Oryzias latipes: one gene and its partners. The protein of the gene in region 7 interacts with the protein of the main gene of each other region in a pairwise test. Links are inferred from orthologs where the notes say so. Each region holds a gene or a part of one and is shown on either strand. Other genes may lie near its edges. The genes, in order: rad54b; pomp; keratin, type I cytoskeletal 13; hsd17b14; ccnh; vcp; psma1.

Region 1 (4,268 bases), on a different chromosome or scaffold from region 7:
TCCTGTGCAGTTTACTTGTTTTTCTACTTATTTGCTTTTAATCTCTCTTACCTGAGGATTTGACTTCATCCAGCTCCTCCTGTATCTTGTAGACTTCACCTGCACCTGCTCAATCTATTTGATCACACTGTAGAGGCTCTCCTTCATCCTGAAGCAGAGGGTCTCCTGCTCCTCCTCTTCCTCTGGGAGAGCGTTTCTATGGAGAGCTAACTCTGACAACAATGGTGCAGGATACAGCCAGGCAGGCAGCTGTCGGACAAGAGCAGAGGGACAGACAAAAAAGCAGTCAAGTGTTTCACGAACTGTCTAAAGCCCAGTTGTTACACAGCCCTTAGAGATAATAGCTGCTCCCCTTAACGGCGAAAGTTATCTGAGGTTTCTCTGTTTGTCTAGAGCTGTGGGATTATCGTGGATTACACTCTTTTCGTCCCTGATTGGATTGCAAAGTACACACCATCGGATAGCACGTAGCACATGACAACAGGAATCAAAAGATCACCTTCACTGCCCATACTTATTACCCCTGTCCTTGAGTGTAATGGAATAAAGTCGAAAAGAAAGTAGTAAAAAGACCTTTCTAAAATGGTATGAAGTAAACCAAAGACTTCACAACTAAATGAAGTTAAACTTTCCAGATTTTCTAAACAAAATAGAGTTGGAAATATTAAAAATAGTGACTATTCACTAAAAAAAAGCTGCTTTTAATTCCACCAACAAACGGTTCAATTAATATTTGTTCAGATTTAGTCATTACTTTTCACTAAAATTATTATTTTGTTAAATGTACACCTCTATGCTCGATTTGCTGCTGTCATGGACCACAGAAAAGATCTGAAATACGTTTAGGAGAGCTACTCAAAATGTGTGGACATAAACTGGACTAATGCTTGGAATGTTAGTAAAAAATGTTGTTTAAATAACAAAATAAAAGAGGTGTCCTTCAAAATATCGCATTGTATATATCCTGCCAAAAAAAGAAGATTTGTTGATTTGTTGTTGAAAGAGGAAACCATTTATCACCTGTTTGTGGACTGCATACATACAAATATGTTGTAGATGGAAGTGGAAAATTATATAGAAAATTTAACTAAAAGAAACTGTACAATTTTTGGATAAAGAAATTATTCCGGGTTATCTTAATGACAATGTAGACAAAGATTGTATCTTTATTACATAGATGTTTTCATCATTTGCAAAATTCCATATTAATTAAGCCAAATGGTCCAACTCCAAACCTAAATTCCAGCATTTTTTGAATGAAATCAATCAGTACTGTAACATTATCAAACAACTGCAAAACCAAAAGGCAATTCGAACTGATTTGATTTTTTTTTTTTAATTTCATACACTGTATACGTATTTGTACGTATACATAATTTTTTTTTTTGTTTTGTTTTCTTTCTGCAATGTACATATTCAGTAACCCCTGAGACGTTCACTATTTTGTTCTATTGTGTTATTTGTCAATAAAGTCTGAAAAAAGAGGTTTAGGCATGCTGAAAGGATTTGGCTGTCCAGGTGTTCAAATCAAACATGCTTTTTTCTCATTTGACCACGCCTTTTGTTGACTTTTAACCAATCAGAACCCCCAAATAATTCAGCGGGAGACATGTTTCGGAAGTTGCCTTTTCCGCTTACACTGTGGGAAACTTATCAAGTTGAATTGGACGATATTTAAGTAATTCTCCAAAATAACATTTTCTCGTCGGTGGTATGTATCACGCATTGTTACAAAATATCATTACGGCCGATTTAAACTTTCGACTTGACCACGTGATAACAGTTAAACACAGCCTGTCGCTGACTTTACTTACTTCAAACTAGTCTAAAAGTAAAAATCAAAAACGACAAACGGAACCTGATAAAGGACAAAATACATAAATTGTCACTAGAGTCAACAAAAAAGTTTCAAAACTGTTTGTTGAAGAGTTTATATTTATATTGCGTTAATAGAAACACATTTTCTGATCCTGAGTTGCTAAAACGTAGAAATCTTTAGTCGGTTAAGGTATTCTAAATGCAAAAACTAAAAAAAATCACTAGTCTTTCTTGGTAAAGCATGCCTGTTTTAGATCACTTTTTTTCTTCTATACCTCTTTTTTCTTTAAGAATTTCAAAGGTGTAGCTATTGAAAAATTGCCTATGTTTTCCCCATTGTGTTTCTAAAATGTAGTTTATTTCTGTTTGTAGGGGGCACATTGACCTTTTATAAGGAATGAGGCGTTCAGGAGCACCCAGTCAGCTTTTGGGGAATGCAGTGAAAAAAACACGATTTGTTTCACCAGCTTCACTACTTCAAACTGAATCAAAGCCTTTGGCCCCCAAACCGGGTTTGGTGAATGCATTGGATAAAGTAAGTTCCTATTCACTGTGTTTAATTCTCAATTTTACTAATTTCTCTTTTTTTGAGTAGCTTTTGCAGTTTACCTTTTGGCATATCCCTTCAGGGGTCACCACAGTAAATCAGCTTTTCTAAATCACTAGAAGCAAAGAAATATCCACGTTCAGCGGTTTGACAGTCATATTTTTTTGCCTCATGTAAATTTAGTTGCAGGGATTACTAGGGACCAAAATGAGGACTCAAGTGTGTGTAATTAAACTGATATCACTTCTTTTGCAGGTCCAGAGAAGTCTATCTGTGGCAGTGGAAAGTGAAATAAATGTGTCTGCTAAAACCAGCCAAACTGCCCCTTTGTCACGGGCTCTGGCTCGAGTTCTCAGTGCTACTGACAGTAAAGAAAACGAGGCTGACACCAAATCCGTCCCTGGATTAAGAGATTTAACAGAAGATGAAAATAAAGGTATGTTTCTAATTGTTTGTGTAAATTTATAAGGCAGTACTACTTCTGTTGTATCCTAATGTTTTGGGGAGTCATCAGTAAAATAGTCCCTCTGGTCTACAGTAGAATTTTTTTTTTGCCCTTTATTTTTATACTTAATTTTTGTTTTTTGGTGGTTTTGATCTGACTCTTCAGGTAAACATATTTTGCAACCCAGTTTGTGTGTTTCATACAGCACTTTTTATTCAGTCTGACATACAAGTTTAATTTATCTACTGAAAAGATGTCAGTGTTGTAAAATAATATGCTTGACGGAATTAAATAATATCTGAATTTACTTTATATAACACTTTCAGCTAAACTGTAGAATTTATTCATCATCAGCATCAACAATATATATTTACTTTGTTTAAACTTATCACTTGTATTTCCTTAATTATCATAATAATGGGAAAACAATTTGGCTTTTTTTCTCTAACCTGCTCCACCAACATAAGCATGTCCCTTACAAAACTTTACAGACACATACACACACATACTTCCAAAAGGTTTTAGAAAACAATGCTTAAACATTCAAATTACCATTAAAGCTGACAGATCTAATTAGAACTAATACTGGATTTGGTATTGATCTTATAGACATTGCTAACGCTTTTAGTCAATGACATGACGTCTCACCTCCTGGGACAGACTGTCCAGGGTGTACACACCTTCGCCCAGCATAACCGTTACAGGTACTGTTCAATTCAATTCAATTTTATTTGTATAGCCCAAATTCACAACAACAGTCGTCTCGATGGGCTTAGTATCGGTAATTGAAAAAGTGAAACATGAACTCAAAAGGATCATGAATACAAAGAGTTCAATAGGAAAATTCTAAAATGAACTAACAAACTGACTAAGCTATACTGGCATCCCTGCCCTTAAACCCCTTTCACGGTAAGGAAAAACTCCTAAAAAAAACGGACTCCGGAAAAAACGAAGAAACCTCAGGGGTGCCTCCATGAAGGAGGGATCCTCCCCCAGGACGGACAGGCGATTTACCAGAACTCTTAGAGAAGAATTAACTTATCTAACTCTACAACTACATATTTAAAGTCCAGCAGACGAGCTTTATCCAGACGGAGTTGGGGGGACAGTAAGGGGCGAGAGTCGAGCAGGAGACAGGATCCAGAGCCAGGTGTCAGGGCAGGAGCAGAGACGAGGTACACGGTCAGGTGCAGAGCAGAGACGAGCCAGAGGCAGGATCCACAGCCAGGTGTAGGACAGTAGTACTGTTTGGTGATTTGGTTCGGACGGGTATCAAATTGCACAGCGCCGCTGAAATCGCGCTGCTGCCAGACCTTTGCACCACACCCGTCGCTTAAATCACACCACTGGACCTCAGCACGCGTCTCTACCATGTAATTAACTTTGAAAACTGGCTGCCTCTGCCGCGCCACTCGCGTTCGGTGTGAACACAGCATTGCCCTATCCATAAGACATGCT
Region 2 (3,801 bases), on a different chromosome or scaffold from region 7:
TACCATGGCTTTTCCTGAAAATAAACAAAATGTGAAAATAATGTGGGAGATGGTACAGAAGTCATTCTTCATTGTGTGATGGAAGACAAGCGTCCTCTTCTGATTCAAAGCACTTTTGAACTTTAGTGCAAATTCAGTTGCTGATCAGCCGCTCCCTCTAGTGGTTGGTGCTGAAAAATGCATAGTTTTCTGAAAGTGTTTACTCAATGAAATGTCATTGTATAACAGATACCTTCCAAGATCCTTAGTATTATTTCAAAGTAAAACTTTTGTTTTCTTTATTTTATTTAAAATCTTCTTCCTTAACTTTTATTTTGTGAACCTTTTATTGTAAAAGGTGTTCCAGCAGTTTGCCACACTGATGACAGCGATGTTGCTAGATTACGCAATTCTGCAATTTGTTACAAAAACATTCTGAAGTGATCACTTCAGAAAAATCCATGAGCTAATGAATAAATATGGTTTCGAAAAAAAGTTAGATTTAGATCTAAGTTTTTTGGTAATTCCCTCTAAGATACCTGATGCTGTAAGCTGAAAAAAATATTTAATTGTTGAAATTTCATTTTAAAATCAAGCAAAGATATTAAATATATTAAAGGTTGGAGGTGGTTTGATGTTTTTTAATACAAGTGTCACTTCTTCGTAATTAGTTAAGTGCTTCATACTCAATTCAATATTAAAAACATTAAGATTTATTTGTAAAACACAACTTCTTGTCCCACTTTTAGCTTCGTGACACAGAAAGAACATGAACCCCAGCAAAGGACTCTGCAGGCTGCATCCACAACCGTTCAGAGGGCCTGTGTTCTCATTTCTGTGGGGTGTCAGACTCCCCAGCATGAGTAAATTCAAATACAAAACCATAAACAGAAGCCAATATTTCTCACTTCTTATGCAGCGCTGAAAGGTTTTCAAGGTTTTCAAAAAGACAAAGACAATCTCAGTGCCAGCAGAAGTCCAGTCCTCAGAACTTTAAACCCTCAGTGGGTGAAACATTTTTTACCTCAGTCAAAAAAGACAATATTTTGCTTTGCACAGGTGCCTTACATATGGCCTGAAGTCAATCATCTGAAGTGAACAAAGAGAAATACAAAATAAATCAAATCTTTGATGTTTTTTTTTTTCATGGTAGTTTTTAATAGCCAACTAACATTTGTTTGTTTCAAATGTATGAGAACCACCGTAAGAAAAAGAGGGGGCACCCGGATTTGAACCGGGGACCTCTTGATCTGCAGTCAAATGCTCTACCACTGAGCTATACCCCCGTTGCCTGAGAGTTAGGCGTCTAGTTGTGGTATTTATCGTTGGATCAGGTGGACACGGTACATCCTATTCGCTGTTTCCAGGTATGTACGAATATTTTAGGGATCAAAGTTCCAATACCTACTATTTTTCACAACAGGAATAATAATGTAATGTTTAGCTTTATTTACGTTTGGCTGATGTTTGTTTTTTATTCCGGATGTGTCGTCTTCTTCGTGCGACCCAACCGGAAGTTCGAAGTCATCGAAAGTAAAGTGAGGAAAACTGAATCACAATGGTAATTGAGACATTTAAATCGTTATACTTAGTATTGTACATTAACCACGTTGATTATTTAATCTTATTTTCCTTTAATTTATTTAACCTTTCTGTACTGCTGCTTTTCGCTGTTTTTGTCCTTATACTGATGGGATGGGATTTCGATTAGTCACTTACGCTAATGCTAGTTAGCAGCAAACCTCCAGTCCACATCGCAAAAATGAATGAATTTAGTTTGAACTGTATTTTACAAGAAATGTGTGTTTTTGTGAACCACAGAACACCCGGGGACTTCGCTCACAATTAAAAGACAGCGTGCCTGTGGCCGGACTGTGCCCACAGGGATCGTACGGGATCCAGGACTCTCTCCGCAGCGGGTAGGAAACCGATCACCACGATGCTTCCTAGTTTCTGCTTTATGTTTATATGTTCTTGATAGCTAAAGAGCGTATACCTCCAGAAACATATGCTTTAATTTCATGGGTTGTTTTCTGTTCTATATGTTAGCTTCACCAGTGTGAAGAATGAGCTTCTTCCAAGCCATCCTCTGGAACTGTCAGAGAAAAATGTAAGTTTTTTGTGTCCATCCCTGTTTTTCACCAGAACTGTTTTAAACAATAAAAAATAAAACTTCAGTATAAAAATCCTCTCTTAGCTTTGGAATATATATGCAATGGTACTTTTTTCTTTTACTGGTCAGTGTTTATCCGTTTACATCTTGCTACCTTTAAATAAAAAGGATTAATCTACATTTTTACCAAAAACAATGACATCTATCTTTTATATGTACATCTATTATCTTTTGGAGAAAGATGATGCTTTTTCTACATCATCAATGGTTTGTTTTGATTGTTATAATGTTTTGTATTTAATGACATTTCATGATCTTTAATGAAAATAGTTTTTGCCATGGTGTTTTTTCTGAGATCTTTTAAAGCCACAAACAATGTTTTGCACTACAGTTAACACCCAATTAAAACTACATGATTTTGTTCTTGTGTGGTGTAGTTTGTGCTTAACCAGGACAAGATGAATTTCTCAACACTTCGAAACATCCAGGGTCTTCATGCTCCCCTCAAACTGCAGATGGAGTACAGGGCAGCCAGACAGGTATGTGGCAACAACACCCCATGTAATTCTGCTTAAGTCTCTAGTCAAAATCTTCATTTTGTGTTCTAGATCCAGCGTCTGCCGTTCTTACAGAGCTCTAATTTGGCTCTCGACACACTGCGAGGCAGCGATGACACCATCGGCTTTGAGGACATCCTCGGCGGTGAGAGCTTGAACTAAAAAGAGTCACAGAAAGTACTATAATTTACAATAATCTAACCATAATGACTGTCTTCCTGCAGATCCAGCTCAGAGTGAAATGATGGGAGAGCCACACATGATGGTGGAATACAAGCTGGGATTGTTGTGAAAGCTGCAGAATTCGCTACCCACTCAAATATTTAGGTTTCTGTTCCTAATTAGATTAAGTCATTCATTCTTACTGGAACATTGTAGTAAACATCTGGACAAACAGTGGGTCAGATTTTGGTTTGCATTTATGTACAAATAATTTCCAAGCAGCCATTTAGTGATACTTTTGTGTGAACGAAGTTGGTTGTTATTGCTAATAAATTTCATAACTTCCTTGTTCATGTGGATTCATGGCTCCAGTTTTATTTTTTTACCTGGAATCTTATGTTGAAATTAAAGCATGGAATTATTAGAGCGGAAGCTCTTCCTCTCACCATATGATGACTCAAGTGTTTAGTGATTAATAAATTGTTTCCTCCAAAGATACTTTCCTTAATTGATGACTGTCTGTGTGCAATTTAATCCAATCCTGTTTTCCTCAAACAGAATCACTTTTTTTCCCTCTGTGGGGTGTCTCGGGCCTTTCAGTAATAGAAAAAAATTAATCTGCTAAGAGAAATACAGTGGGGGGAAAAAGTATTTAGTCAGCCACCAAATGTGCAAGTTCTTCCACTTAAAAAGATAAGAGGTCATTCACTAGGTCCCCCTGTGTGGTTCTGAGATTTTTGACCCCACAGGGGGAGATCTTGCAGGGAGCCCAAGTCAAGGGAGATTATCAGTGGTTTTGAATGTCTTTTATTTCCTAACATTTGCTCCAACAGTTGATTTCTTGACACTAAGCTGCTTACCTACAGCAGATTCAGTCTTCCCAGGCTGGTGCAGGTCAACAATTTGGTTTGTGGTGTCCTTAGACAGCTCTTTGGTCTTGGCCATAGTTGAGTTCAGAGTGTGACTGTTTGAGGTTGTGGACAGGTGTCT
Region 3 (4,062 bases), on a different chromosome or scaffold from region 7:
CCACACAAACAAAGTGAGGTCATGGAAAAAGAATTGGAAGTCGTGGGAGAACAGTGAAGTTAGAACAACACAGGTCTTATCTTCACCAGCAGGTTTATTTTCTTTGGCAGATCACACAAACATGAACACACACACAGCGCCGCACATCAGCTCTTCTTCTCATGACAGCAGATGTTGGGAAAACGAGCCTTTTGGTCTCCTCTGGTTTCTGGCCTGCATGTTGGACTTCTTGGCTGGACGTGGGCACAGTGGTGGTTGTGAATGTGTCATTGAAGCCTCCTGTTAAGAGGCAGGGAGGAAACTGGTTGAGCACAATTCTTCAAGTTCCTCCTGTGAACTTTTCCTCAAATAAACCAACTTACCTGCAGTCATTTATCTAAAAGGAGAGAAGAAGAGATGACAAAGATGAGTCAAAGAGGATCAAATCATGTATTTCTACTTGAACGTTTGTGATTGTGTGCACCTTTGTCTATCTGGCCTCCTCAGTCTCCAGCAGTCTCCTGTAGGTTGCGATCTCCTGCTCCAGCCTGGTCTTGATGTCCAGCAGCATCTTGTACTCCTGGCCCTGGTGCTCAATGCTGCCGCGCACTTGGCCTAGTTCGCATTCAAGCATGTTGATTGTGTTCTGGTAGCCGCTAAGCATGGCGCTGAACCGGCCCTCTGTCTCTGCCAACGTGTTTTCAAGAGCACCTTTCTGTTGGGGTAAAGAAAAGCTGTGGATCACTGATCCTGCAGCTGCGCTCAGCGCGCCCCACCCTGGATGCAGTATGTCACTCGGTTTGTTTGCTTTGCATTTTCTCCTGTTTTGTAAGAGAACAAAGAGAGCTGGCTCTGAAGGTAAGTGTCCCTTTGCCTCTCCTCCTCAGTGACACAATGGCAGTGGGAGGCTCCTGCTGAATGACTGACTGCAGCTGGGCACCCAAACCCCAACCAGAAACAGCCTCTCATTCCTCCAGCTTTTTTATGACTTCCAGAGTTCAGGCAGATGTCTGTGAAATGTTTCCCAGAACAAAGTGTCTCCCTCCCACCTTCCATCCTCCCTTCATTCCTTAAGGATTGCCTCTCTTTCCCATCCTCCCCTTCGCTCCTCGCCCTCTGTTCTGGGCGATCTGGGGATTTTGGTCATATAAGGAAAGATTTTAAAACAAACGTTTGTCTTTACCATGCTGAGCTGGGACTGCAGCTCGATCTCCAGGCCCTGGAGTGTGCGCCTCAGGTCATTGATCTCTGTCTTGGATGTCTGGATTACTTCTGTGCTAACGGCCACCTCTTTGCTGAGAGCTGATGACTAGAATTTAGAAAAGAAGACAGAGTGAGAGGTCTGTATGATTATACGTGTGATGACAGGTTGGCCTGCTGACAGAGGAACTCCTGTTACCTTCTCAGTGAACCAGGCTTCTTGGTCGCGGCGGTGTTTGTCTGTGATGGCCTCATACTGTGCACGGATCTCCTCCATGACTTTGTTCAGGTCCTGCTGAGGTGCAGCGTCCACCTCCACGTTGACTGTGCCCGTGAGCTGAGAGCGCATGGCTGCCAGTTCCTGCAAACATCAGGGGACGTCAGCATTGGTGTCTGTTTGCAGAGACTATAAAAACCAGGTGTCACATCACTGACCTCCTCGTGGTTCTTCTTCAGGTAGGCCAGCTCATCCTGCAGACCTTCGATCTGCATTTCCAGGTCAGCCTTTGTCAAGGTGGTCTGGTCCAGCAGGCGGCGGAGGTTAGCGATGTCAGCCTCAACTGACTGTCGCATCATGAGCTCGTGCTCAAACCTGGTAAGTTAGGAAGAGGCCTGATGTTAGACAACTGCCCGCTAGAGCCTGCATGAAGGCCCTCTGAATCAGTGCTTACTTGGTTTTGAAGTCATCAGCAGCCAGTTTGGAGTTGTCGATCTGCAGCAGGATGTTGGCATTTTGGACGGTGGCACCGTTGATCTGCAGCGGGGATGGGGTTAGTTAGTGTCAGGCATGTGCAGAGCGGCACGCTTTGATGACTGTTTACACAACTTCAGATGTTTCTGTTACATCAACTGAATTGTGTCCTTAGGGCACGTTTGACTTCCTCCTGTTAAGCTGTCATGCTGAATATTTGTGGTTCATTTGTGGAATCTTTCAGCCGCAAAGAAAACACAGATATGTTCACTTTAAAAAAGTGTTGTCTGGAAATCATTGACAGGAACGGCAAACATTTGCAGGTGGCAGAGGCACAGACCATACCTTGTCTTTCAGGTCATTGATGATGGCCCAGTAGTTGCTGTAGTCCCTCTGTGCTGCCGGGCCCTTCTGCTCATAGTACTCTTTGATCTGCTTCTCCAGCTTGGCATTGGCCGCCTCCAGACTGCGAACCTTGTCCAGGTAGGAAGCCAGACGGTCGTTCAGGTTCTGCATGGTGGCCTTTTCGTTCAGGTGCACGGAGCTCTGGTCCATGGCGTTGGACAGGTCAAACCCTCCACCCATTCCAAAGGAAGAGGAGACGGTACGCCCGGTGGCAGATGAGATGCGGGAGCCTCCCATGAAGCTGAGACCGGACACGCTGTGAGCTTTGTGGGGAGCAGCGCTTGAAGTGTAGCTGCGGCTCTGCCTGGTGATGGTGAGCCCAGGACCGCTGGCGATGCTCCTGTTGTACATGGCGGCTGACTTTCTGCTTGTCAGAGGAGAAGACGAGGAGACGAGTGTTTCACAGCTGTGGACTGTTGCAGGACTGTGGAGTTTGATGGAGGGAGGACGGCCGTTAAAATAGCTTTGAATGTGGGGCGGGCTCTGAACGTGGGGAGGAGGAGGAAGTTTCTGCAGTCAAGGCTCAGGCTGTGCAAAACCGTCATTTGTTTTCTTTTAAGCTCTGGGATTTGGTTATTTTCCACCCCTGTGAGGAAAGTGGTGAGGAATGTGAGCAGATCAGAGGAGAATCTTCATGGGCACCCTGATGATTCCTTGTAGAATGTGAGCACAAGCAACTGTAACGTGTGCTCAGAAATACCTGCAGGTATTGTCCTGATCATGCCAGTCACTTGGCAGCTCAGTGCGAGAAAAGGAAGGGTAGATTTATTGTTTTGTTGCCCCTCCGTTAGTCAATAGTCAGTGTGAGCGGCATGTTTCATCCTGATAATATCCACAGTTACGGTTTAAACCTCCCAGGTGTATTATTTCACTTTGTTTGTCCAGCTGAGTTTAAATGCGTTCTGATAGTCTGAGCAGTCAGAGGCCCTCTCAGGAATTCTTTAGGAGCCAGGATGGATTCTTGTTATCAGCTCTGTTTAAATTCAATCATTTTGTCTGTATGTGGTCAGAGCTCACATAGCCGACTGGATACTTGCAGGCTTTGCAGCCTCGAACCACAAACATGTGATGTTATCCACACATTATCATTCACCCCCCTTCATTGTTCAGGAAATCACACAACATCCCGTCTCACATGTGTTGGTCTTGACCTGATGTGTGTTAGTGTGTGGAGCTTATCTCAGCCTGGTTCTTTGCACAGAAACATCTGGCATCGGCTGCGGGGGGAGGGCTGCCTCGTCAGGAAGAAGTGAAGTCATTCTCCTTTGGAGCTGCCAGCAAAGTTTGCTGCTCAACTCCCCCCAAAGCTGCACACACTTGCATGGAGACAAACCGTTGTTTGTGCGATGGCCTCACTTTGAGAAGAAAAACAATCTGGTTTGTGCTCCGAGGATCAGAGATCTGTTCCATCCATGCTGCTGTACTTTTAACGCTGGAGGAGGTGGGTCCAATCCCGCCCAAGTCCTCTACTCCAAAGGAAGAAAAGTCATTCCATGATCGATTTAGATTTCTCTTTGGTTCATTCACTGCATTTTATTGATTGATAAAGCAGATGATGACATTTCCATTGTTGATAGGATTCTGTGTCTTCTTCTGAACACAGCGACTCCTGCATTTTTCTTATGGATTCTCAAGTGATTGTTTGTATGTTATAGATAGAGGATCGACGTTCAATTACGTTTTTAGGTTTTTCATTTAAGGAAGCAACATATTAAATCCAGGATCTGCAACAATAGGAGCCTCCACATTTGACCACTTTGTCTATAAACCAAAGAGGACCAGATTTG
Region 4 (4,015 bases), on a different chromosome or scaffold from region 7:
GGTGTCCAGCACCCGGTGTCCAGCACCCGGTGGCCCCAATGGCGGCCGTCTGATGTGCCTGTCCTGTGGCCTTGGGGCCCAAACGGTGGGCTAACCTGTGCTCCGCAGTGATGGAAGGGCCCCCTAGGGTGTCCTTAGGACGGTCCCCTCCATTTGGGCCTTGGGGCCCAAACGGCGGGCTATCCTGTGCTCCGCAGTGATGGAAGGGCCCCCTAGGAGGGTCCCCTCCATTTGGGCCTTGGGCCCAAACGGCGGGCTATCCTGTGCTCCGCAGTGATGGAAGGGCCCCCTATGAGGGTCCCCTCCATTTGGGCCTTGGGGCCCAAACGGCGGGCTATCCTGTGCTCCGCAGTGATGGAAGGGCCCCCTAGGAGGGTCCCCTCCATTTGGGCCTTGGGCCCAAACGGCGGGCTATCCTGTGCTCCGCAGTGATGGAAGGGCCCCCTAGGAGGGTCCCCTCCATTTGGGCCTTGGGGCCCAAACGGCGGTCTCCTGCACCTTCTCTCTTGGTCCTACCGGTCATGCTGGGGAGGATCTGGTCCCCCTAATGATCACATGGTACACTTTGGCAGCGTGCTTGCATCTCCCCCCCCCCCCCCCCCCCCCCCCGGTGTGCATGTGCACGTGCACACTTATCCCTGTCTGCTTTATCCCTCCTCCTAACCCACAGATGGACAGATATCTTCCACTTATCTTGGTGTCAGATTTTCACTTTTGGATGTAACATTTGTCTTTCCAGCAGAAATAAAATATATATTTAAAACATAAAATATAATAAATAAATAACAAACAATTAAAATAAAAACCTAAAAGGGGTTTATACAGATATACACCTTGGCTGTCAGAAGATCCATAATAGTCAAATCTGTCCAACTCAAAAGGCTTTCAGCTCTTGTATGTTAGCTCGGTTGTTGGACAGGACAAGTTAAAATAAAAACACCACGTTTTTCGGGTCTAAAGTTATTTCTGGGCCTCTACCTTTTTATTTTATTTTTTAAAGGAGAAATAAAGACAGGCTGACTTAACAAATTTTAAAGGAACTTCAGAAATGTTTCCTCTTTTTATCTAAATTCTCACGAAACTGTCAGTTAAAAGGAGAAGTAATATATTCGAAAGCAAATTCCTTTCAGATTTTTAAAAAAAAAAATGTTTTTAATAGGATTGAAGAATTTCAGAGTTTCCAGTCTTCCCAGCGGCGCTTGAATGCAGCATAGTTTCTTTTTCGGTGCAGACGCAGACCTTTGCCCAGTCGCGGTGTTTCTGTGAGTCTCCCGCAGAGCACAGACCCGCCGCTCGCCTCTCCTGCTGCAGGACGCTGCGGGACGCACCGGCTCGCGGCTTTGCGGCGCTTCCGTGCACATCCGTGCAGGAAAAGCGCAAACACCATGTCCTTCCGCTACCTCGGCAAAGTTGTTATTGTGACTGGAGGGTCTAGAGGAATCGGCAGAGGGATTACCGAGGCCTTTGGTATTGGATCTGTCCACATTTCCAAATGGGTTGCAGGTTCAAGTCCAGTTCCCTGAAAGTCTGTTTGTTTTTCAGTGAGAAATGGAGCCAAAGTGGTGTTTTGTGCATTAGGAGGTCAGCAAAGAGACAGTCTTTCCCTTTTCTTGTACATTATCAAATTAGGCCTATTTGAAGTGTCTTAATTGTGTCACTATTGCAGAAGGTGACACTGTTGAGGCAGAACTGAACAGAACCGGACCAGGATCCTGCAAGTTTGTGAGATGTGATGTCACCAAGGAAGAGGACATCAAGGTGAAGTTCTGGGTTATTACAAGAATCCATCCAACCAGACTGGCGTTTTCTGTCATCCAGTCTGACGAGGGGCTTGTTTCCCACCCACCTCCACAGAGGCTGATCTCCTCCACCGTGGAGCTGCATGGACACATCGACTGCTTGGTCAACAACGCAGGCTGGCGTGAGTCTGCTCAAACCTCTCTGGCCTCCTGCAGACGTGTTGAAGACATTTTTGGAGACCTTTAGGTTGCTGTTTTGTTTGTTTGTTGTGATTTTCAGACCCTCCGCACAAATCCATCGATGACACCACAGCTGAGGAATTCAGAGATCTGCTCAACCTGAACCTCGTCAGCTACTTCCTGGCTTCCAAAGTAAACTTTTCTATGATTAGAAGAACATTTTATTTTACATTAGTTTCAATTATTTTGAATAAAACTGCAAAATCACTATAAAAAGAGCCTTTAGTAGTAAAAATATGAAAACATTGGTTCACAGTTTTCTTTTTGTGTTAGTTTTTAGTACCAAAGATGCTTTATGAGGACAACATTTTGTTTTAAGGATTTTCTTTTTAATTGTAGTGTATGAATGTCCAAAATAGAAAATGAACTTTTCCTAATAAGAACCCTACACTCTAAAAAAGAAATAAGTTTATCTAACTTAATTAAATCACATCATCCTCTCAACTCTAACTCATGGTGCAGAAAGAAAGAAACACAACAGTTTAAATTAAAACAGCTAGACAACAAAACACATGGACTCACACTTAAACCCCAATCTGCCTAGATAGGCAAAGAAAATGGTATCCCACAATTCTTTATCATGATGTCTTGACGCATTGACAGCTTCACACCGAAGTTACACCAACTTAATCAAATTAAGTTGATTAAAAGTAAAATAACAATGTCATTTTTAAGTTTAATGAACTCAAAAAACGATTTATTTTCACCAAACTGAATAATTAAATTAGATCAATGTGAAAAAGTTAATATTTCCAACTACAGCCCAAATACTTTTTTTAGAGTGTAACAAGAACCCTAATCAGAACACAGTTAGGACTGTTCTAACATCTTGTGTCCTTGTGTGTCTCCCTCCAGTTTGCGTTGCCATATCTGCGGCAGCGTCAGGGAAACATCATTAATATTTCCAGTCTCGTGGGCTCTATTGGTCAGAAAGATGCAGTGCCATATGTTGCCACGAAAGTGAGTGAATTTGGAAGGATGTTCTTAAGGCAGTCAGGCGGCTCCTGTAATGCGCTACTTTCTCCACTAGGGGGCGATCATCTCCATGACGAAGGCGATGGCTGTGGATGAGAGCCAATACCACGTGAGAGTGAACTGGTGAGGCATCCCAACTTCTCCACGCCTTACTTTAAGCTGAAGAATAAATTACTCAGTTGTGACCACATTGATAACTGATGTACATTAAGGCAGTAAAACCATCCCTTTGTGGTTTAGTAAGAACATTTATGCACTTTTTTAAATATTTTAATGCTACTTTTCAGATATTAATTGAAGAAAGAACAAAATATTAGTATATATGTATTTGTTTTTCTTAAGTAACTATGAATGTTTTCTTTATGGACTTCCATCTCTTGATACTAAATTTAAATCTTAATGTATGTGCCATAATATGTCCTTTGTTACTTCCTCTGGCTGTAACTCCCTAACATGTATTTATTTATTTATTGCACGCTTTGGAACTTCCATCCTCCCCTCTTTTTTTTATTGTACTCATTTTTTTACGTTCATCCAGACCTGAACTACAAACTACAAACAAAACGAAGCTGGACCAAGAATGAATGTACATTTTATTTGAGGAGAGAGGAAAAAATGTATGTTAAAGTGCAGGTACACTGCAGTCACAGAAGCTCCTAGTTTTTGTGAGCTTTTTCTAGTTGTGTTAAAAAACAGAACATTAAAAGCCTCATTTCTAATGCGGCAAACTAACAAACATTTAATTATATAAATTAAAAATTGTATCACATTAATCTGTGTTAAACATAGTTTCTGCAGAGCAGCAGGATTAAAAAAAAAATCTGCTCCTGATTCACAACAATATGAAAAAAGAAATATATAGAAGTTAAATTTAAAGCTTGTTTTTTTAAATCCTCAGAAAAAGATGTCAATAACATGTTGAAAACACCCAAAACTCTATTATCATCTAAGTGGGTCTTAAAGGATATTTACTAAAAGAAAGAAAACTGCTTTTATTTTGACATCTGTCGGTCTTTTCTGCCCTGCTAACACCTTTGTGTGATGTGGGACAGCATCTCTCC
Region 5 (4,202 bases), on a different chromosome or scaffold from region 7:
AAAGAAACGAATCAACACAAGCCTTAACTCCATTTCTGCTCACCGACATCCCCCGATTCGACAAAGTTCTCTTCTTCCAAACTATTTATATCCGTTACTGTCTTCATGTATGAACCTGCTTACAGCACCCAAACCACTTCCTGCTTTTTTTCTACGCTGCTTTTGTCTGTTATTACCTACTTAGGCTTGTAAAGAAGTGTTTGTGTAGGATATAGCGGAGCAGAGATTAGTCTAAAGGTTTGTAGTATACACCTGTAGCCTGCCTTGTGCATGCATTAACCCTGAATGGATACAGCGACAATGTTTGGGCCTACGTATCTGCTGCTCCAACAACCATCACCTAAACCCCTTTTATGCCTTTGATGTCATTGAAAGCCTGGATTTCTTGTAGCTCCTCGTTTCTCCGCCATTACAACAAGATGGCGTTTTTGCTTTGTCCTCCGAGTACACCTCTGCTCTGACTGTTTTTCCCACCGATTCACCCTGAAAAGTCCCGCCATGCAGCGATTTCTAAACTTCAAAGTCATAAAGGGTCGGCTTTGTTTGCCTCCCTTCATGTTCTAAGCAGCTGCAACGTCTGGATCTGTGCCTGTCATAGTTTACCAAACTGTTTACTGTAGTTGCACTTGAAGATACCACGGACCTCACCGAGTGTTGGCAGATGAGCCCAGGCGACTCATCGGCTGTACCACTGATGTAGGGGTTTCATACAACAGACGAGGATGTGTTCATTTTTATTTTTCTACCCAATACTGAACCTTTTGCATCTTAGATACAACAACCTGGCTGAAATAAACGGTTACTACATACGCGTGGATTGTTGTTCTCGGTCGCTATTGTTGTGGGTAAATAATGCAGCAGGAATCACAGATTGACAATGTTTAAAGATTGAAATCCTGACTTAAAAGAGCTCATGTGTGTTTTTATGTTTCTTACTTGCTTGAACTGCTAAACTCTGCATGAATCCTCTCCAGCTTCTGTTTGTAAACGTTCACCTCCTCTGCTTTGGGGAGCTCATACTTCTTGAGGAGGCTTTTTGTTCCTGCATGTGCCAAACGCATGAATTCAAAACATCATACAGGAATAACAGCACAACTCTGCCATCTAGTGGTGTTACACTGAAGTGCAAGTTGACTTACGCCTCATTAAGTCGAAAATCTTTGAGAGGGAATCTTTGTCGTCTTTCAGTCCCAAGCACTCAGTCAGGTAGCTGGGGAAGGAAAATAAAATAGGATTTTAGTTTTAAAAAATATATATAAGAAAAAAACTTTTTTGCACCAACTGAGCTTATAATTTAGAAATATCTGAAAAGGAGGAAATGTTCAGAGAATTTTCTTCAAAATATTTGTCACCACCTTCATTTGATCAATTTCTTTCCAGAATAATGTATACCTTTTCCATTTAAATTCCAAGTTTCAACTTGCAAAACCTAATTTGTTTTTCTAATTAAGTTGAATTTCACATACATTGTTGTTAAGGCTAAAGCAAACCTGCCTTTCCATGCTGAGGCCAGCTCTTAAAGCGCTATTCAGAATAGCTGTCAGAGCGATCTGAGAGGGAGAACACAGCAGTCCGGCATCCGTCATGACCGCCTGGGTCAGAAAGTCATCAGCACTCTTCCTCAGTGACTCTGGGTTCTCCAGTGCAGGATAGCGAGTCTAAAAGACAAAGAACACGGATTAAAAACTGGCGATCTGGAGTGACATTCAGCTCTCTTCTGTAAGGTACAAACCTTGAGGTCGATGAGCAAACCCTCTAGCGGTCTGTAGGGGTTGTGGACCACGAGATGAAAACTGAGTTGTTGGATTAACAGCAGTTCATACTCCAGGATTTGCTGAAGAACCCGTTCTTGTCCAGCTGGCGTCTCATGCAGGAGATTGCCCACAAACTGGGTGCTGGACACGTTGAACTCGTCCACTTTGCAGGCCAGGTATGCACACGTCAGCCTGGACAAGAAGGTACGTCAACAGCTGGAAACGTACATGCATGTTTGTAATATATGAACAAACGGAATCGTTCCCATCTTCCTGCAGAAACATCACATTTGCATTTAAACTTTTAGAATGAACCATTCGCATCTTTGAACCGAATGTTTAATGTCTTATCCTTTCCACAGTGACAGTCACTGACATGATGATCCTTGGGTGGTGCTCCATAACAGAGTTGTTGAGGTAGAACCTCCGGAAGTACATGATGGCAGTGCCCTAGAAAAAAAGATGGGCTCCAGTAAGAGTTAGTCGAGTCTGTACACATGAAAAAAAAGAAATGAGACACACACGCACCACAACAGACTTGGGCATTGGAGGCTTAAAAGCGCTGCAGAAGTCCAGGAGTCTCCTCTCATAATGGCGGAATAAAACGTCTTCTTCGTTCCGTTTCAAGAACATGGACTCATACATACCTGCCTGATTTCAAATAAATGTTTAATTAAAAAAGAAAATCGCGTTTTTCCCCCAAACCGTTTACATTAAACGTTTTAAAATGCTTAAAAGAATGTTACCTACCTTCCCACTTTCTATGACTTTTTTACGAAATGCCTCATTGGCACTGCATCTTTTCTGCTCAAGTTCAGCCTCACTTTTGAAGATCCAGTACTTTCGCTGAGAGCTGTTGTGATACATGGCGGCTTCTGATTTACGAGAGCTAAAACCACAACATAATCCTAAAGTAGCTTTATGTATTTTACCACACGGAAATCCTTGAACGATTAAAGTAATCAGCGTAGTGTAAAAGTAGTTAAATCGGGCTGTGTGTTGTTCACCCCCAAGTAGTAGTGAGGACGTCGCGCGATATTTACGTAATGCGGACCCTTGTTGATGACGCATTTACCGTGCTTCCTGTATTAGTGCGTGCTATGATTTTTCCTTATGAAATACTCAATTTCTCATTTTATTTAAACTTATTTATAATTATGTTTCTTTAATATAAAGTTAACAAAATGTTGAAGTGTACACATTTTTACCTCACTTATTTTTAACGGCATGAATTGGACAAACAAATTGTTGAGGTGGAAAGCAATTATTTTTCTGTAAATATTGACCTTTAAGTCTTTCCTCCTAAACAAAATCAGAATAATTAAATGTAATGGACTCACTGATGTGCACACAATCATTTTGAAACATAATTTAAAGTACAAACATCCTTGTTTATTTTTTTTGCTATTGTAACATTGTACCAGTGTAGATGGTCTCCAACAGACTCAGAAAGTATGTTTTAGCCAGAGCCACTCCGCCACCAGTAGTGTTTCTGCATACCGTAATTTGCATAAACATGAGTAATTTATGAATAATAAATGCCCTAGCATTCAGCTGGAGCTGATAATTTGCATATCAGTGCCGCCTTAGTGCCGTGTTATCATGAAGCCCTTCAAGCCTGCATAAACCAAAATCAAAGAAATAGTGCTTTAACAGGTATGTGCTGAAGACTTTTTTTTTTTTTTTTTTTTAAGAAATAACACTAATCTTTCCACAGGCGTAGAGACGCGGCGCGTGCGTCTGAGCTGACAGACAAACGCCTTATTACGTGCGGTGCAGTTGCTGCGAGCACGGCTCTCGCCCGTATATACATGGCTCGGGTTGCCCTGAGAATTGCATAAACATGAAGCGCTGATGCATTATTGATGACACCTTTGCAGCGTTTACTGTATGTTTGCGCACTCGTCTGCTCACGTGCACACGCACGTCCATGCGCCCTTCTGTCTGCGTGTGCGTGCACGATTGCTGTTGACAGTCAGGCACCTTTCCACCTGCTATTTCGCATCATTTGGGGTGTGATGACTCATTTGAAGCCTTTAGTCTTGTGTTACATCTTTGTCACGTTTTTTTTCTTTTTTCTTGACTGCTTTCTTTAAATGTTGAACTCTGCAGAATGACTCTTATTCTTTGAATGTGAGCACACTGCAGTTGATTGTTCTGTGTGTGAGTATCTGGTGGTTTAGAATATTTTTTATCAAAGGAATACCATCTTGTGAGTAAATCTAAATCATACGGAGTCTGACAGGCAGCATTTTAATGGAAAATCAGACTTCGGCATTACCAGATCACACATTAGAGCTGCCTGATTAAGTTAGTCCCATCCCATAATCGGCCCTCCCGTCAGTATTTCAGCAGCTTATAGAAGCATTCCCAGATATTTTGCAAAGTTATGGAAAGATTGACAGTGCAGACGAGGCTAAAGGAAAAACCTCCACAGCTCTGATCAAT
Region 6 (2,597 bases), on a different chromosome or scaffold from region 7:
GGTACTGAATCACACAAGTGGTTTTGTGTGTGATAAATGGGATTGTACACTTAAAATTAAAAAAAAATTTTTTTTAAATAAAGCTCTCACCCCACATTTTTTGTTTTCGTTTTAAATAAGCCCCCTCGTGGAATCCTGCTTTATGGACCCCCTGGAACTGGAAAAACTTTAATCGCCAGGGCTGTGGCCAATGAAACTGGAGCGTTCTTCTTTCTTATTAATGGTATGAATATATCCGTTTGGATGTAAAGTTTTCTAGTATGGGTGAGATGATGCTGAAAGTCAGTGTTCTGATTGGCTATGCTTGTATTTATCTGAATCGTTGTGTTCAATGATATTTTCTTGTTAAAGTATCGTTCTCTCTATTTCAGGCCCGGAGATCATGAGTAAGTTGGCTGGAGAGAGTGAGAGTAACCTGAGAAAGGCCTTTGAAGAAGCTGAGAAAAATGCTCCTGCCATCATTTTTATTGATGAACTTGATGCAATCGCTCCAAAGAGAGAGAAGGTGAGTAATGTAGGGTGGTAACTTTGTCGGTGCACTATGAGTTTTAGGTTCAGGCCCTTGAAAGCACAGCAATTCTTTGTGTATCTTCTCTTTTAAATTCATGTACTAGTGACTGTATTGGCTATGTGCTTTAGATTAGCTGAGACAAAAAAAATATAGACACATTTTACTAATGGCACTCTGCTTTTTCAGACTCATGGGGAGGTGGAGAGGCGCATTGTGTCACAGCTGCTGACTCTTATGGATGGTCTGAAACAGAGAGCTCATGTGATTGTCATGGCTGCCACCAACAGACCCAACAGCATCGATCCGGCTCTCAGGAGATTTGGTAAACAGTCTTTAGAAGCCCTTAGGTCGCTCGTTTTAGATTTCACCCCGCAGCCTTTTATTATTTGAATGTCGACTAGGCCTGCACAATATACCGCAAATTTATTGTTATCGCAATATCAAGCTGTGCAATATGCATATCGCAAAAGACAGCAAATTTGCAATAAATGGTTACCTTAGATGTGGCCAAACAATCTTATGGCAACTTGAAGTGTTTAATGGATTGAAAGTATCCCTTTCTGCATTTGAGCAATCAGGTGGACCCCTTCACGTTGTTAACTAATCGGATTGCGCCCTATTATGTTGTATGTTCGCCTCCTATGTCAACAAGGGTCATTTGTAGTATAATTTTTAAGCTGTTGTAATGGAATGGGAATAATATTTTTGGTTGTTTTGCTAATTGTTTATATACCGCAAATTATATCGTTATCGCAATATTAATCACTGATATCGCATATCGCGAGTTTTCTTCATATCGTGCAGCCCTAATGTTGACTTAAAATGATCCTGTGCAGTTAAGACTTTTGAACATCAGACCTACTTTCAACCATAGAATTTAAGTTGCACTCTATTCCTAAATGTTTGGGTTTTTTTAAGTTTCATTTTAATAAGAAACTTTTTCTTGTTAATGAAACAAATTGTTTTTCCAAACCAGGTTTTCTTAAGAAATCCTGTGGCTTGTTCATTTTGTTTGAAAATGCATTGCAAGTTAAGCTGCTAACATGTTGAAACAAAATTTCTTGCTGGCACTTTAGAAACTATTGTCATCCCAGTAAGGATGAAAAAGTCTATTTCAATTCAAATAAATATATTTTGATTCAATTCAAATTTATAAATTTTCAATTAAATAACTTTTCATATTCTGATTTAAAGAAAAAAAAGAGAATTCCAATTTTTAAAATGGAGGTCAATGTTTTGCCTGGTAAAGAAATTCAACAAATTTAATGAATTAAGTTAGAAGTTTTTAAGTTGATGATCTTATAAATTTTAGGTTTTTAGATAGATGGTAAACTTCTTCATTTTCATTGATCCAATTTTATTTTCACACCTTTCCATTGTAGGCCGTTTTGACAGAGAAGTGGATATTGGCATCCCTGATGCAACCGGCAGATTGGAGATTCTGCAGATTCACACCAAGAACATGAAACTGGCTGATGATGTGGACTTGGAACAGGTTTGTGCCTTCAAAAGTCCTTTATTTTTGTCCAAAATACAACATGTTCAAGTAGATGCCTTTTTCTTGATAAATGATAAATTTCTTTTTTCTATTAGTTTGTGAATATTTTAAGTTAAAATGTAATTAATCATTATCGCAGGTTTTTTTTACATAGTGGTGTAACTTTGGTTTCTACAGTGAATTTGATTGTCTTTTGCAGGTTGCCAATGAGACCCATGGTCATGTAGGTGCAGATCTGGCTGCTCTCTGCTCTGAGGCTGCTCTCCAGGCCATTAGAAAGAAGATGGACCTGATCGACCTTGAGGACGAGACCATCGATGCTGAAGTCATGAACTCACTTGCTGTTACCATGGATGACTTCAAGGTAAACCTGTAATGGAATCGTTTGAAATCATATAGTAGTCCATTAGTACACACAGCTAGCACTGGGCTGGATCAATGCTAACCCGATCAGTGCTGTCTTGCAGTGGGCTCTGAGCCAGAGTAACCCATCAGCACTGAGGGAGACGATTGTTGAAGTTCCCAACATCACCTGGGATGATATTGGAGGTCTGGAAGATGTTAAGAGAGAGCTGCAGGAGTTGGTCC
Region 7 (4,019 bases):
AACAGTCAACCCTGACGTTGGAATTAATAACATTGTTTTGTTTTGTTTTGCTTCAATACTCTTTATTTAGGATTCTTTTTACCAAGAAATGTTGATGCAACCTCTTTCTCCATTTCTCGGCTTTCCTTCTTCAAATTCATGTGTAAAGAAACCGCAGCGGGGTAAACGGTGACTATAACACAAATATGACAAATGCTGCTGCTGTTGTTCGCCTGTCAGCACATCCCTTCAGGGGTCACCTCAGAGATCAGCTTTCAAATAAATAAATAGACTACAGGGATGATGTGGAAATGATGTGAATTTAACCTGTCTGCTCTGAAAGCTCGTTAAGTAATTGAACACAAACTTCCTACAAAATCACCAGAGGGTGAAATATTCAGACTGAAAACAATATAAAATCATGCAAAACTTTATTATTTATTTGCAGATTTTTGCAGGTTTGCTGCACTGTTTTTTATCTTTGTTTTAGTTGATTAAAGTTTTAGAACAATAAAACTACTAACAGTTTTCTTCATGTCCAGATACAACTGTCATTAAATCAGTGTCTTTAGCACAATCACATCTCAACCATGTGGTCCAGATAGTAAATTATGAAATACCACCATTGCAGAATAAGATGCCGAAATCAATCTTTGGTTTGAAGCATGTGCAGTGACATTTGGATTTTCTTTTCCTTTGGTAAAGACATGCATGTTTCACGCTTAACCTAGTACTGTTGCACAACTAGACATGCTTGTTTTAAAAATATTAAACATCAAAATTGATAGAAAAACATTTACTCTTTAGATACTATTTGACCATAAAGACTTTTATAGAATTTGTTTCTTGTGAAATTATTGTTTATTGTTTTTAAAGTGATGGTTTTTGTACCCCAAAAAATGTTTAAAAGGAAAAAAAAGGGAAAAAATAAGGAAAAGAATTATTAATATTAAGTATTTCAGTGGGGGTTCAGTGTCTTGCCCAAGTATTAAGCATCTTACACAATATTTTAAATAATATGGTTTTTAATTAGTCTATTAACTGGTATGGACGCCATTAGGTTAGTAACGTTTTTTTATATTTTTAAAGTTTAGAAGAATTGTCTAACTAGTATTTTAATTCTGACGTATTACTTGTGTTTTGTTTATTATGTTGACATTTAAACCACGAGTCTGTTTGTTTGTGTTTTAATCCTATTCTATTCTATTCTATTCTATTCTATTCTATTCTATTTTATTCTGCTCTATTCTATAGCTCTGCTGGTTCTGTTCGGCTCTTCAAAGGCATCGATCATTGAAATCATCGATCGTTTGAAATCGGCTTTCTGCTGCTTTTCCCTGCCGTCTGCCGAGGAACCCAGGAAACTAAATCGAGATCCCGGCGCAGGCGGAGGAAGCGAGACTTTAGCAGAGATGGTAAGTGTGAGGGAAATTTAACGACAAATCCTCCGTTCGGTACCAGAAAACGTTTCTAGGAATGTAAGAAAACGCATTCGATCCTAAACTGTTACTTTTTAAGCCTCAAGAAATTGTTAAAATATTTCCATGCTAAAGTTAGCTTAGCTAAGTTGGTCTGCACTGTGAGTAAGCAAAACAGCCGCTAACATTAGCTTTAAGTATTAGCTCACTCTAAACAATAGAAGTTAGTTAAGTACTTTAAACTGTTAAAGTAAAACAGGTTTAATAGTGAGAAAACATTGCAAATAGCAGATTAGAAATGTAATATTTTTGGAATACCTTGTTGCGAACAAGCTAATCCTAACAGCTAGCTAAAAGTTAGCATCGGGAGTCCAGTCATGTCTTCACTTTCGTTTTTCTTCAGCTCTTCGCTTTCTTCTAGATTTAAAAACACAACGTAGTCCGTCAGTTATGGAGTTACAGCCATTGGGATCATTTCACGTATCATGATGATGATATTCATATTAAATCATTTGATTTTATTACAGATAATAAGAACCGAACTAAATTAGTAGAAGCAGCAGGTAGCTAGCTGGTTTGCTGCATCCACTGCTGGATTCAATCGTTTTTCTTGAGGATGACACGAACAGGTTGATTAATTATTCAGTCTGTAGTAATTGAAACGCGTCCTTCCAATCCTTATGAGACGTTCTGACCGCGAACACGGTGCAGTTGGTTTGGAGTCTAGAGACGAGAACACTAACCGTACTAATGCAGGACAACTATGTAAGCCTGGCTGTAGATCATGAGAAGGATGCTGTGTTATTATCATAACGCGCGTTTGTGTTCCCTCCTAGTTCCGCAATCAGTACGACAACGACGTAACGGTATGGAGTCCTCAGGTAAGCTGCCCTTTACTTACTGGAGCGTGTGTTGTTGTTTGTGTGTTGGTTTTGTCCGGCTGTGTGTAGTTTGACTGTTTGGTTTGTCGGTGCAAACGCAGGGCCGCATTCATCAGATCGAATATGCCATGGAGGCTGTGAAACAAGGTTCTGCAACCGTCGGACTGAAGTCCAGAACTCACGCGGTCCTGGTTGCACTTAAGGTAACGTCACTCAACACGACTAGAACTGCTGCCAGCCTCCATTACGCTGAAACGGCTCTTTTCACGTGCTCAACTCTCCTTTAGTGTTATTTGAGCCTTAACCTCCATGACAGTGTTTGGTTACACCCATTAATATTCATACTAGCCGGCACTTTCCTGTCTTTCTTATTAATTAAAACATGTCGTTAAAGATCTGTAACACACCACACATTACTGTTGTGCCTTTTTGGTCTGCAGAGAGCCCAGTCTGAGCTGGCTGCCCACCAGAAGAAGATCCTTCATGTTGATAACCACATTGGCATCTCCATTGCTGGACTGACGGCGGACGCTCGGCTGCTCTGGTGAGTTGCAGCGACTTCCATGGACCTGAACATTTTTTCCATGTTTTCTTGTGTTAAACTTCTTGTGTTTGGGGAGAAATGTCACTTTTCATGGGTGTCAACTGTACATCTAAACACTAACATTGGTTAATTTATGGCGTTACACAGATGACAAACAGATATAGAAATCACAGGAGAGCAAGGCCCTCTACAAGCTCTTGGTAAAAGTATTTAATATATGAAAGACTGGATGTGCCTCAATTACTTCAGCTGAACAAACACAAAACTGAGGTTATTGCCTTGGCTGATGTTATTCGCATGTATTTACTTGCAACCAGCACAAAAACTGCAGCCAAGATGCGCATTGCCTGCACGCATTTTAAGTGCATCCATTTTTACATTTTGTCGTATTTAAAATGAAAGTTAAAGCTACGCTCCTGGATTGGTGAACAGTGTTCTCTGCGTTTGATCCATCCACTGGAGAAGCGATGAGCTGCAGAAACACATATTTGGAAAATGATGAATAGACACTTTTTGTTGTGTTTGGGGCTAAAGAGAAGTGGTTTGATGTCATATAGAGCTTCAATCTATTCATCTAAAAACCACCAACTAGGCCAGAAACATGGGTGTAGTCATGGATACAGTCCTATGTTTTGATAAATGCATTAAGGCAGTCACCAAATCTGCAGACTAACATCTTAAAAATAGTTCAAGTATTAAAGATCGGATGTCTTGAACAGAGCTTGGAGAAACTAGTTGATGCATTCACGTTTAGTGGACTTGATGACTGTGACAGTGTTTTTACAGGACTAGCAGAAAAACCAATCAGGAAACTGCCTGTAGAGCCGATGAGAGCCCAGTTCACTTTTCTCCTCTCTAATAATGAGAAACAACCAACAGGCAGCTCTCATTCTCTGCCCGGACTACAGAATCCGGAAACAAACAAACGTTGCAGTATGGAGCTCTGTTCTGTAACGATGAAGAAGCAGCTGAATGTTTGCTGTTGGCCTCATCATTAGCAGCATCTACAGTCAAGTGCTGAGCACGAACCTGAGAACGGCCTTTTGTCTGAAGACCAAAACCTTTTCTGTCTTGCAGTAACTTCATGCGTCAGGAGTGCTTGGACTCCAGATTTGTCTTCGACAGGCCTCTCCCCACATCCCGCCTCGTGTCTTTAATCGGCAGCAGTATCCTCTAAAAATACACTCTCCTGTTCAA

The links.
Region 1: the proteins of psma1 (region 7) and rad54b interact in a two-hybrid assay, tested with the Homo sapiens proteins (2 studies listed by BioGRID and IntAct). The two-hybrid records come from large-scale screens. The link is inferred for Oryzias latipes from reciprocal best matches to the Homo sapiens genes PSMA1 and RAD54B.
Region 2: the proteins of psma1 (region 7) and pomp interact in a two-hybrid assay, tested with the Homo sapiens proteins (2 studies listed by BioGRID, with this or other methods). The link is inferred for Oryzias latipes from reciprocal best matches to the Homo sapiens genes PSMA1 and POMP.
Region 3: the proteins of psma1 (region 7) and keratin, type I cytoskeletal 13 interact in binary tests that used the Homo sapiens proteins (3 or more experiments, as listed by UniProt). The two-hybrid records come from large-scale screens. The link is inferred for Oryzias latipes from reciprocal best matches to the Homo sapiens genes PSMA1 and KRT15.
Region 4: the proteins of psma1 (region 7) and hsd17b14 interact in binary tests that used the Homo sapiens proteins (3 or more experiments, as listed by UniProt). The two-hybrid records come from large-scale screens. The link is inferred for Oryzias latipes from reciprocal best matches to the Homo sapiens genes PSMA1 and HSD17B14.
Region 5: the proteins of psma1 (region 7) and ccnh interact in binary tests that used the Homo sapiens proteins (3 or more experiments, as listed by UniProt). The two-hybrid records come from large-scale screens. The link is inferred for Oryzias latipes from reciprocal best matches to the Homo sapiens genes PSMA1 and CCNH.
Region 6: the proteins of psma1 (region 7) and vcp interact in binary tests that used the Homo sapiens proteins (3 or more experiments, as listed by UniProt). The two-hybrid records come from large-scale screens. The link is inferred for Oryzias latipes from reciprocal best matches to the Homo sapiens genes PSMA1 and VCP.

What each region holds. Positions count from the first base shown.
Region 1 is NC_019874.2:17,754,228-17,758,495, reverse strand, and holds the start of rad54b (DNA repair and recombination protein RAD54B), read left to right. Parts: upstream 1-1,468; 5' UTR 1,469-1,711; intron 1,712-2,190; 5' UTR 2,191-2,215; coding exon 2,216-2,353; intron 2,354-2,620; coding exon 2,621-2,801; intron 2,802-3,879; exon of another isoform or gene 3,880-4,268. Other genes in the region: RING finger protein 151-like, read right to left, coding at 52-69. UniProt on the Homo sapiens protein: Involved in DNA repair and mitotic recombination. May play an active role in recombination processes in concert with other members of the RAD52 epistasis group.
Region 2 is NC_019878.2:12,147,822-12,151,622, reverse strand, and holds pomp (proteasome maturation protein), read left to right. Parts: upstream 1-1,431; 5' UTR 1,432-1,537; coding exon 1,538-1,540; intron 1,541-1,800; coding exon 1,801-1,898; intron 1,899-2,028; coding exon 2,029-2,089; intron 2,090-2,529; coding exon 2,530-2,631; intron 2,632-2,700; coding exon 2,701-2,794; intron 2,795-2,873; coding exon 2,874-2,941; 3' UTR 2,942-3,301; downstream 3,302-3,801. UniProt on the Homo sapiens protein: Molecular chaperone essential for the assembly of standard proteasomes and immunoproteasomes. Degraded after completion of proteasome maturation. Mediates the association of 20S preproteasome with the endoplasmic reticulum.
Region 3 is NC_019859.2:29,293,854-29,297,915, reverse strand, and holds keratin, type I cytoskeletal 13, read right to left. Parts: upstream 2,801-4,062; 5' UTR 2,627-2,800; coding exon 2,216-2,626; intron 1,934-2,215; coding exon 1,851-1,933; intron 1,772-1,850; coding exon 1,615-1,771; intron 1,541-1,614; coding exon 1,379-1,540; intron 1,289-1,378; coding exon 1,163-1,288; intron 695-1,162; coding exon 474-694; coding exon of another isoform or gene 470-473; exon of another isoform or gene 464-469; intron 377-463; coding exon 373-376; 3' UTR 363-372; intron 280-362; 3' UTR 77-279; downstream 1-76.
Region 4 is NC_019866.2:3,307,114-3,311,128, reverse strand, and holds the start of hsd17b14 (17-beta-hydroxysteroid dehydrogenase 14), read left to right. Parts: upstream 1-1,215; 5' UTR 1,216-1,385; coding exon 1,386-1,467; intron 1,468-1,542; coding exon 1,543-1,581; intron 1,582-1,666; coding exon 1,667-1,758; intron 1,759-1,854; coding exon 1,855-1,921; intron 1,922-2,019; coding exon 2,020-2,111; intron 2,112-2,834; coding exon 2,835-2,939; intron 2,940-3,009; coding exon 3,010-3,077; intron 3,078-4,006; coding exon 4,007-4,015. UniProt on the Homo sapiens protein: Catalyzes the NAD(+)-dependent oxidation of L-fucose, yielding L-fucono-1,5-lactone, which rapidly converts spontaneously to L-fucone-1,4-lactone. Can also act on D-arabinose and L-galactose, with lower catalytic efficiency. Does not use NADPH.
Region 5 is NC_019867.2:14,756,282-14,760,483, forward strand, and holds the start of ccnh (cyclin-H), read right to left. Parts: upstream 2,801-4,202; 5' UTR 2,622-2,800; coding exon 2,505-2,621; intron 2,406-2,504; coding exon 2,283-2,405; intron 2,205-2,282; coding exon 2,131-2,204; intron 1,947-2,130; coding exon 1,733-1,946; intron 1,659-1,732; coding exon 1,495-1,658; intron 1,211-1,494; coding exon 1,140-1,210; intron 1,043-1,139; coding exon 937-1,042; intron 810-936; exon of another isoform or gene 1-809. UniProt on the Homo sapiens protein: Regulates CDK7, the catalytic subunit of the CDK-activating kinase (CAK) enzymatic complex. CAK activates the cyclin-associated kinases CDK1, CDK2, CDK4 and CDK6 by threonine phosphorylation.
Region 6 is NC_019867.2:13,580,823-13,583,419, forward strand, and holds part of vcp (transitional endoplasmic reticulum ATPase), read left to right. Parts: intron 1-120; coding exon 121-223; intron 224-371; coding exon 372-505; intron 506-697; coding exon 698-833; intron 834-1,893; coding exon 1,894-2,006; intron 2,007-2,208; coding exon 2,209-2,373; intron 2,374-2,476; coding exon 2,477-2,597. UniProt on the Homo sapiens protein: Necessary for the fragmentation of Golgi stacks during mitosis and for their reassembly after mitosis. Involved in the formation of the transitional endoplasmic reticulum (tER).
Region 7 is NC_019864.2:7,545,114-7,549,132, reverse strand, and holds the start of psma1 (proteasome subunit alpha type-1), read left to right. Parts: upstream 1-1,219; 5' UTR 1,220-1,391; coding exon 1,392-1,394; intron 1,395-2,233; coding exon 2,234-2,278; intron 2,279-2,379; coding exon 2,380-2,481; intron 2,482-2,718; coding exon 2,719-2,822; intron 2,823-3,899; coding exon 3,900-3,988; intron 3,989-4,019. UniProt on the Homo sapiens protein: Component of the 20S core proteasome complex involved in the proteolytic degradation of most intracellular proteins. This complex plays numerous essential roles within the cell by associating with different regulatory particles.